2 linked regions of the Lonchura striata genome follow. The protein of the gene in region 1 purifies or fractionates together with the protein of each later gene. This does not show direct contact. Links are inferred from orthologs where the notes say so. Each region holds a gene or a part of one and is shown in the gene's direction. Other genes may lie near its edges.

Region 1 (3,745 bases):
TATGGTTCTACACTCACTCCAGGATCTTCATGTCCATCCTGTCCTGAGGAGCCCAGAACTGGACACAGCATTCCAGATGAGCCTCAGCAGGGCTGAAGAGGTGGGCAGGACCCCATCCCGGACCTGCTGGCAGTGCCCTTCCCAGCCCGGGATCCCCCACCTTGGCCCCAGGACACAAGGCTGGTCAGGGACAGTTGTGACCCCCAGAGCCTTCTCTGCAGAGCTGCTGTCCGGCAGGTTACCCCAGGCCGGCCTGGGACACGCAACCACCTCCGCGATGCTTTAGCTCCAGCACGGACACCCTCAGGCGCTGCATGTTCAAGGTGGAAATCATTAGGCAGTAATAAGCCCCCACTGCTCCCCTCAACAGCTCCCTTGGCGAGGCAGCCTCGGCTAAGTGTAGGTGACTGTGAGCGACAAAGCACCAGCAGGGACGGCTGAGAGAGAAGAGACTCCTGGTCCCCGGGGGGAGCCGGGGCCGCCGCCGTGCCCCACAGCCGCCGCCGGCCCGGCGTAACGAGACTGCGGGAGCGCAGCGGCAGCCCCGTGAGGGAAGCGCCGCGGCCCCGCCCCACTGCACCGCCCCGCACGACAGGGGGCGCCGTGCCGCCCGCGCATGCGCTGCTGCGCCACAGGTTTGAACCGCCAACTGCCCCGATTCGAATTCGCATCCTCGCCGACCAATCACAGCGCGCGGGGCGGGAACGGCCCCGCCCCCATCGGCCTCCTGGCCAATGAGAGAGGCTGCTGTGTTTAAAACAAGTGCGCGCGGGCGGTGGGCGGGGTGGTGGCGCGGCGGGCGGGCCTGGCGGGCGGGGCTCCCGCCGCTCCCGGCGCCCACTGGGCGCGCCCGCGCCGCGAGCGGGGCGTGCCAGCCCCGCGGGCCCCGCCCGCCCGCGGCTCTCCGGTCCCTCCTACGCCCGGGCCGCTCTCTCCGAGCCGGGCAGGGCGCTGTGTCCGTCCGCGCGGTCCCCGCGGACACGCCACGATGAAGGCGGGCGGTGAGTGCGGCTCTGCCCGCGGCCTCCGCGGGTGCTGCTGTTTCCCGGGCCTTCCTGCGCTGAGGGGCGGCTCCAGAGCGGGTTCTGCCTGCCGGGCGCCTCCTGAGGGATCTGAGGGCGGGGGTTACCGGAATACTCCGAGCCTGGGCTAAAGGACCGGCAGTGGGCTTTGGAGCCGGGCCAACGGCTTCGCGCCCAAATTCAAACGCGGCGGGGGCGGCCCGGCCCGGTCCGGCCCGGCCCGGCCCGGCCCGGTGGGTGCTCGGGACCGGCTCTGCCCGTGCGGTGCTCCCCGCCGGGGCCGTGCCTCAGCCCTTCCGCGACCACGGCGTCCGTGGCTGTGCCTGGCGGCTGTGCCTAAGCGCGCCTGCCCTCAAAGCCAAGGGGTCAAGATGTGTATTGCGCGTGGGATAACATCTCGGGCGTCTGTGAGTTTGCAGCGTGCGCAGGACTGTGCAGGAAGCCCCATTCAAGAGGCAGAGAAAGTGTTTTTTTACTGTAAGAATGCCTGAACTATGGTAATTGATTGGCCAGAGCAATTGTGGGATCCACATCCTTGGAGTTGCTCAAACCTACCTGGATGTGGTCCTGCCCCACTTGGCGGGACAGCTGAACTGGGTGACACCCAGAGTTCTCTCTTGCAGCCTAAACCGCTCTGGTTTCGTGAAGCAACATATTTGAAATCAACCTGTGCCACATACTGTCTATAGAAATGGAGTTTTCACTGAGTTGCTCATCTACACCCTGGTCCCTATTTGGATGCTCATATAGGCTGAACTGGCATCCCAGTTTGGGTGTCTATTTCATTTTCATGGCAATAATACTGCTGAGGATAGTACATTTTGTATACATATATATGTGTGTTTGTGTGTATTTCTATAAATATTGCACTGAAATAATATTCCAGAAGATATAGGCAATGGGTCTTCCATTAGCACCCCTGGTAGCAACTGCTTGGAAAGATAGGCTTGAGTAGGTTTGGTTGTCTTCCTAATATCTCTGGTTGTGTTCCAGAGACTGCTGTCAGTTGAGAAGGAAAAGTTGGGGCATGGGGGAGGTAAATGCATTGACAGTAGTGTCAGCTAAACTATTTGTTACTACTGAACAGGGACAGCTGAACTGTTTGCTGCTACTAAACACGGTCACAGGAGTCAGGGCTCAGAGGGGCTCTTGGTGAAGAGCACTTGAGCTTGAGCCACCCCTTCTGAGTCTCTTGGCTTCATTAACCAATTTGAACAAGCCCTTTCTGCTCTGTGGCATAATGAGGTATGAGGTATATATCCCTGGTTAATGTGTTTGCAGTGTCCTGCACTGCAGTGAAGAGGTGCTCAAGTGAACACCTGTGTATATATGTAATACTATGTAGTACCTTTTTGCCTTTATGCTCTCACTAACTGAGGTGTCCTGTGTTTCTCTTTTCCAGTGGTTCACTGTAGATGTTCCAGATGTTTTTCTTTCCCTTCAAAGAGAAGGGTAATAAAACGGCCTCGAGTCCTGACATTCTTGAACCTCCCCGAGGATGTTCTGTTTCACATCCTGAAGGGCCTCCCTGCTGCAGACATCCTCTCAGTCAGAGCTGTAAGTGCTGCAGCTTCCCCTCTGCCAGGCTCAGTGCTCAGCTCTGCCTCCAGGAGCCTGGACTGCACACAGAACAGGCTTCTCATGTCACAGAGCCTGAAGAAACCCAAAGAGTGCCTGCAAGGTTGAGATTTTTGCTGTCCCAGGGACTTTCATTTCTCACTGCTCAAGTTAAGAGTAGCAGCAGTATTTGACTGCTTTTTGTTCCTTTTCTGTGGTAATTGTCCTGCCAGATTACTGTGGCTGAACAAATGGGTTTGGTTTGGCATCTCTTGCCTTACTGGTTATGAGGCAGGCAACAAGTTAAACATAACTTGTGACGAATTAGTTACTTCTCTAAAATAAGATTGCAAAGACCTGTTTTTCTGTTGTTCCTTTTATTTTGTTAATCATTATTTTGTGTTCCCTCCCTGCAGGTGCACTCACATCTTAAATACCTTGTGGATAATCATTCCAGTGTTTGGGCACATGCAAGTTTCCAAGACCTGTGGCCATCTCCAAACCATCTGAGGATGTTTGAAAGGTAAGTGTCAAACATCAAATTTGTCTGGCCTTTTAGAAGAGGACGTTTGAAGGAAGATTAACTGTTCTAATCAGTCCTCAGTGTAATTGGGGGATCTGAGTTGTACAAAGAGGGGAAATATTTGCTTTGGAAATGAAAAAACATGTGATTTGAGATCTAAGCTACAGCTGATCACTGCTGTCTCTTTAACCAGAGCAGGGCCTATTGCATATACCAAAGTTGTCTTCACAGGCATTAATATTCCAGATTGGAATGTAACACATTCCTTAAAACCACTTTCTGGTGCTCCCATGTGAATGAACGTGTGGGGTCAGGGGTTCTAGAAAATAATCCTGTTTCTAAGTCTAAGTTGGCTTGGTCACTTCTTGTGCAAACCAGTGTATTGAAAAACAAGTGAATTTCAGTAACAAAGTTTGAAACAGCAACAATAAATCTGCTTTAAAAATATGAGGAACATCTTTTTATCCATCTGTTTTGAAGGGGATCCATTGGTGTCAGAGATTTCTTTAACATGTTTAAATGCCATGATAATGGTTTTGCTTCTGAGTGTCACTTCTTTTTGAGGCAGACCAGTATGTGCACAACAGCTGGGGAGGGAGGAATACAAGGGCTTGATGTTTTGATGGATGTCCTTGAGGGCACA
Region 2 (3,745 bases), on another chromosome or scaffold:
ATTAAAGGGTGTTTACATGAGGGAGGGCATTTTTCTTCTTCAAACTTACCTTTATTGCCTATGCAACTTTCAGGCTCAGCCTGATGCTGCAAATATTTAGGTATGTGCATAAGTCAAGGCACAAGTGGTACATGTCTTTTAAATATTAATCCAAATCCAAACATTAAAATAATTCAAACACATCCAATGCCAGCATCATCTCGTTCTTACTGTAGGTCCCTACTTTAAGTTTAAGTCTATTTGGAGACTGTCAGACACTCCACCCCAGCAAGGACTGGGTTTCAGGAAAAAGCTGTATGCACACAGCAAGACGGGTAGAATGGAGGCAAACCAGAACGGTGCTGTTGGGCCCAAGTATTTATGAGAAGTAGAGTACAGATATTGCTTGCCTGTATCTATGCAAGAGAATGGCCTTTTAGTGCTTCTACAAACTCCTCTTTCCAACATCCATGGACCAGCAGTGTACAAATAGATTTAGAAGGGGTGGCTCTGCAGAGAGATCGCGTCTACAGGGACCTGCAAAGCTGGGTGAAATTTCAAGATCTATAGTTGTCCTGCTGGGGAGTGTATTGCCCTCAGTTTCCATATCATGGAGAATACTACCACTGACCTTGTCGGGAAGGTACAGACAGAGGAAGCTCCAAGAATCGGCCACCGTGCCTGTCATCTCCTCTCCATCCTTGCAAAAGAACAGGCAAGGCCTGGGCAACTCTGGCAGCACCTTTAAATCCATATTGATTGTAACTATTGTAAACTCAAATCGCACGCTGTAAGGTGCGCGTCCTGTCTTCAGCAATTCCATGTTCCTTTTTAAAAAACTGGACTTGCGGGAGAATAAAGGGCTACAGCGGCAACACCGCCGACCCCACTTCGTCCTGCCTCGATTACGATGGGCGAAAACAAGTTAGAAGTCTACTGAGGGCTGAAGCCCCTCATGTGAAGAGGGCGGGGGGGCAAATCCCAAGAGACTGTAGGGGGACGCTGCACCGAGAGCCCGAGGGCTGCGGGCAGAGGGATGAGGTAACTTTGGCGCGGCCCCGCCCTTCCCACCGCCCTCAGGAGCGCGCTCACGTGATCGCGCCCACGTGATCGCGCCCTCGGCCCCCGCACCTGCCGGCGCGGTGAGGGGCGGTGGGGGGCGTGGCCATGCGGTGACCCCTCCCAGCGCCCCCGCTCCTCCGGCCCCCCGGCCCCGCCACGCCCCGCCGCGCCGCGCACGCGCGCAGAGCGGGACGGGCCGATTCACGCTCCCAAAATGGCGGCCGCAATGGATGTGGACACTCCCAGCGGAACCAACAGCGGCGCCGGCAAGAAGCGCTTCGAAGTGAAGAAAGTGAGGCCCCGCCGGCGCGCTCCTCTGGCTGCTCCCGGAGGAACGGGGGTGGGGCTGGGGCCGGCTTGATGCCAGAGAGCGGGACGGAGAAGGGAGCGAATTCCCGCTCCCTTTACGGAGCCGGGCGCCTGGTTCCGCACCGGAGCGGTGGGAGGGGCGGCGCGAGGCCTGCGGGGAGTCCTGGCGTGCGTCCTAGCCAATGGCTGAGGCGGGCCGCCGCACGTGCAGCGGGAGCTGGCCAATCAGCGGGCGCCGCTGGTGGGGGCGGGAGCAGGGGCGCCGACGGGCCGGGGGCGGCCCTGTCCGGGGCTCTGCCGCTCGCCTCCTCTGACGCTGCCGCCCCGACAGGACAGGCCTCGGCTACTCCTTACCCAGAGCTCGGGCGGGCGAGCAGCGCTGGAGTGCTTCCAGCTCCCCATCACCCCCGGCCGCTGTGGCGTGGCCCAGCCGCCCGGGCTGCCCCATATGCTGCGTAAAAAGCTTTCTGCAAATGTCTGTGGCTGACTTTTTCCTCCTTCTTACATAAATCGAGCCATAACAACGTATTAGTGAGCAAATGTTCTCATGCCACCCTGGCTTTGCTTCCTCGCTCAGAGCAGTCATAATATTGCTCTCCTATCCAGTGCCACCAGTTTGTCAGCTGGGTCATGGTGATGGTCTGAGGCTATTCACGTGGGTGTAGAGAAGCAGGATTAGATTGTGTGGGCTTGTACTAAGGTACAATTTGAGGAAAAGTGTCTCCTAGACTGAATATCAGTAAACATTTCCAGTGATTCCTGCTTGTAGATATATTTGTTTAAAATGCAGCTGCCATCAGTGATGATGGAAACCCCTGGATATGTGCAGAAGGAAGTGTTTGGGTGACATAATTGCTTGTCCTTTGGAAATAGGGACAAATATAATCAGAGTGGTAGGAAGTAGCAGCATTTATATGTCAGTGTCATTCCTGCTCCCCAGCAAGGTATCAAGACCTTTGTTGCATGTGTGGCTCAGTACAGGTGTGTGGGCCATCAGAGTAGACCATAATGGGACAAGAGATTAAGTATTGGAGTGTATGGAAGAGATAAGGGTGCTGAGAACTTTTATCTTAGCTGCTTGAAGTATGGATGAAGTCCATGAGGACTGAATACTTCAGCCAGAAGGCCAGCTAGTCTTGAAGTTAGAAGACTGGGAAGAAACATGTGATCACTACTGGTGCATGTCCTAAAAGATCTAGTAGTATTGTGACTACTTTTTATATCTGTACTAATGAAAAGTTGAAGAGCTTACCCAAGTGTGAAACTGCCTATCAATACTTGGAACTCAGTGTTCCTTCTTTAATGTCCCAAACTGAGGGAAAGCAATGAAAACATTGAGATGGAAATGGAACACAGTAGAGAAGATAGTACAGTCAGTGCAAATATATACTGAAAAAATGTAAGGGGGACAAAAATCTATACTACGTAAGTCGTAAATGAAGATTATCCTGATACCAGTACAATATTTTGGATTGTTTTGGATATTGAAGGCAGGCCCATTTATTTAATGAGTTTACAGAAGACCTGATTATGAGTTTTGTCTGGAGGCATAAAAAGGTTTTTCTGCATAGCTTGTCCTAAAATTCTCAAACCCCCTGAAGTAGCATGTGACAGTGCTATTACTTTTTTGTATGTATAAAGTAAGTCTTCGAAAGATTGATTTGATAGTACTTTGAAATTTTTATATCCAGCCTTGCCGATAGGTTGTTGCTTATTAACCTTTTGTAGGGAACATTATTCAGGAGTCAGTGGAGAGTAGCATTAGAGATTTAGTTCTTGACCCCAACTGCTCAGAAGGATGATTACTAGAAGAACTGCCACAAATAATAGGAATTCCTCTTAACAAAAATTACATCTGAATTGGTCTTTCTCCAAGGGGCTGTCCTTTCTTTCAGAATCTAGGGTTTGACATGAACTACTTCCTTGGATTCCATTGGATCTTGAATAGAAATCCAGATGTTTGCATTTGTTTCACAGAAAAAAAAAAGTGGAAGGGGGACTGTGGGAGTTACCTTCTTTTTCAGGTGGGAAGGAGACGTATCTGGGAGGTTTGTGAGAGGAATGTACCACTGCTTCCTAGTAACCTAAACTCTTGATGAGGAATTGTTCTGGACTTCTAAGATTTGTTTTTTCCTTAATATCCTAGCTTTTCTATTTCAAAAAGTACCTGGTATCTTGAAGAATAGCAAGGATTGCTGTCCAGCGTAAATTGAATCACAACTGTTTTTCTTTTTCCCCCCTCTCTCCAGTGGAACGCCGTAGCTCTGTGGGCATGGGACATTGTGGTTGATAACTGTGCCATTTGCAGAAACCACATTATGGATCTGTGTAAGTACATGGGGAGGGTCACATTTGGACTTGTATGTGCTGAATAGCTGAAATTACCCCAGCTGAG

Evidence for each region. Proteins that work in one complex are often made in the same cells at the same time.
Region 2: the proteins of CCNF (region 1) and RBX1 purify together in Homo sapiens (affinity purification with western blotting, with the first as the bait; 4 studies listed by BioGRID). This does not show direct contact. The link is inferred for Lonchura striata from reciprocal best matches to the Homo sapiens genes CCNF and RBX1.

What each region holds. Positions count from the first base shown.
Region 1 is NC_134618.1:2,548,664-2,552,408, forward strand, and holds the start of CCNF (cyclin-F), read left to right. Parts: upstream 1-935; 5' UTR 936-988; coding exon 989-1,001; intron 1,002-2,424; coding exon 2,425-2,579; intron 2,580-2,995; coding exon 2,996-3,102; intron 3,103-3,745. UniProt on the Homo sapiens protein: Substrate recognition component of a SCF (SKP1-CUL1-F-box protein) E3 ubiquitin-protein ligase complex which mediates the ubiquitination and subsequent proteasomal degradation of target proteins.
Region 2 is NC_134607.1:24,899,779-24,903,523, forward strand, and holds the start of RBX1 (E3 ubiquitin-protein ligase RBX1), read left to right. Parts: upstream 1-1,199; 5' UTR 1,200-1,255; coding exon 1,256-1,333; intron 1,334-3,599; coding exon 3,600-3,678; intron 3,679-3,745. UniProt on the Homo sapiens protein: E3 ubiquitin ligase component of multiple cullin-RING-based E3 ubiquitin-protein ligase (CRLs) complexes which mediate the ubiquitination and subsequent proteasomal degradation of target proteins, including proteins involved in cell cycle progression, signal transduction, transcription and transcription-coupled nucleotide excision repair.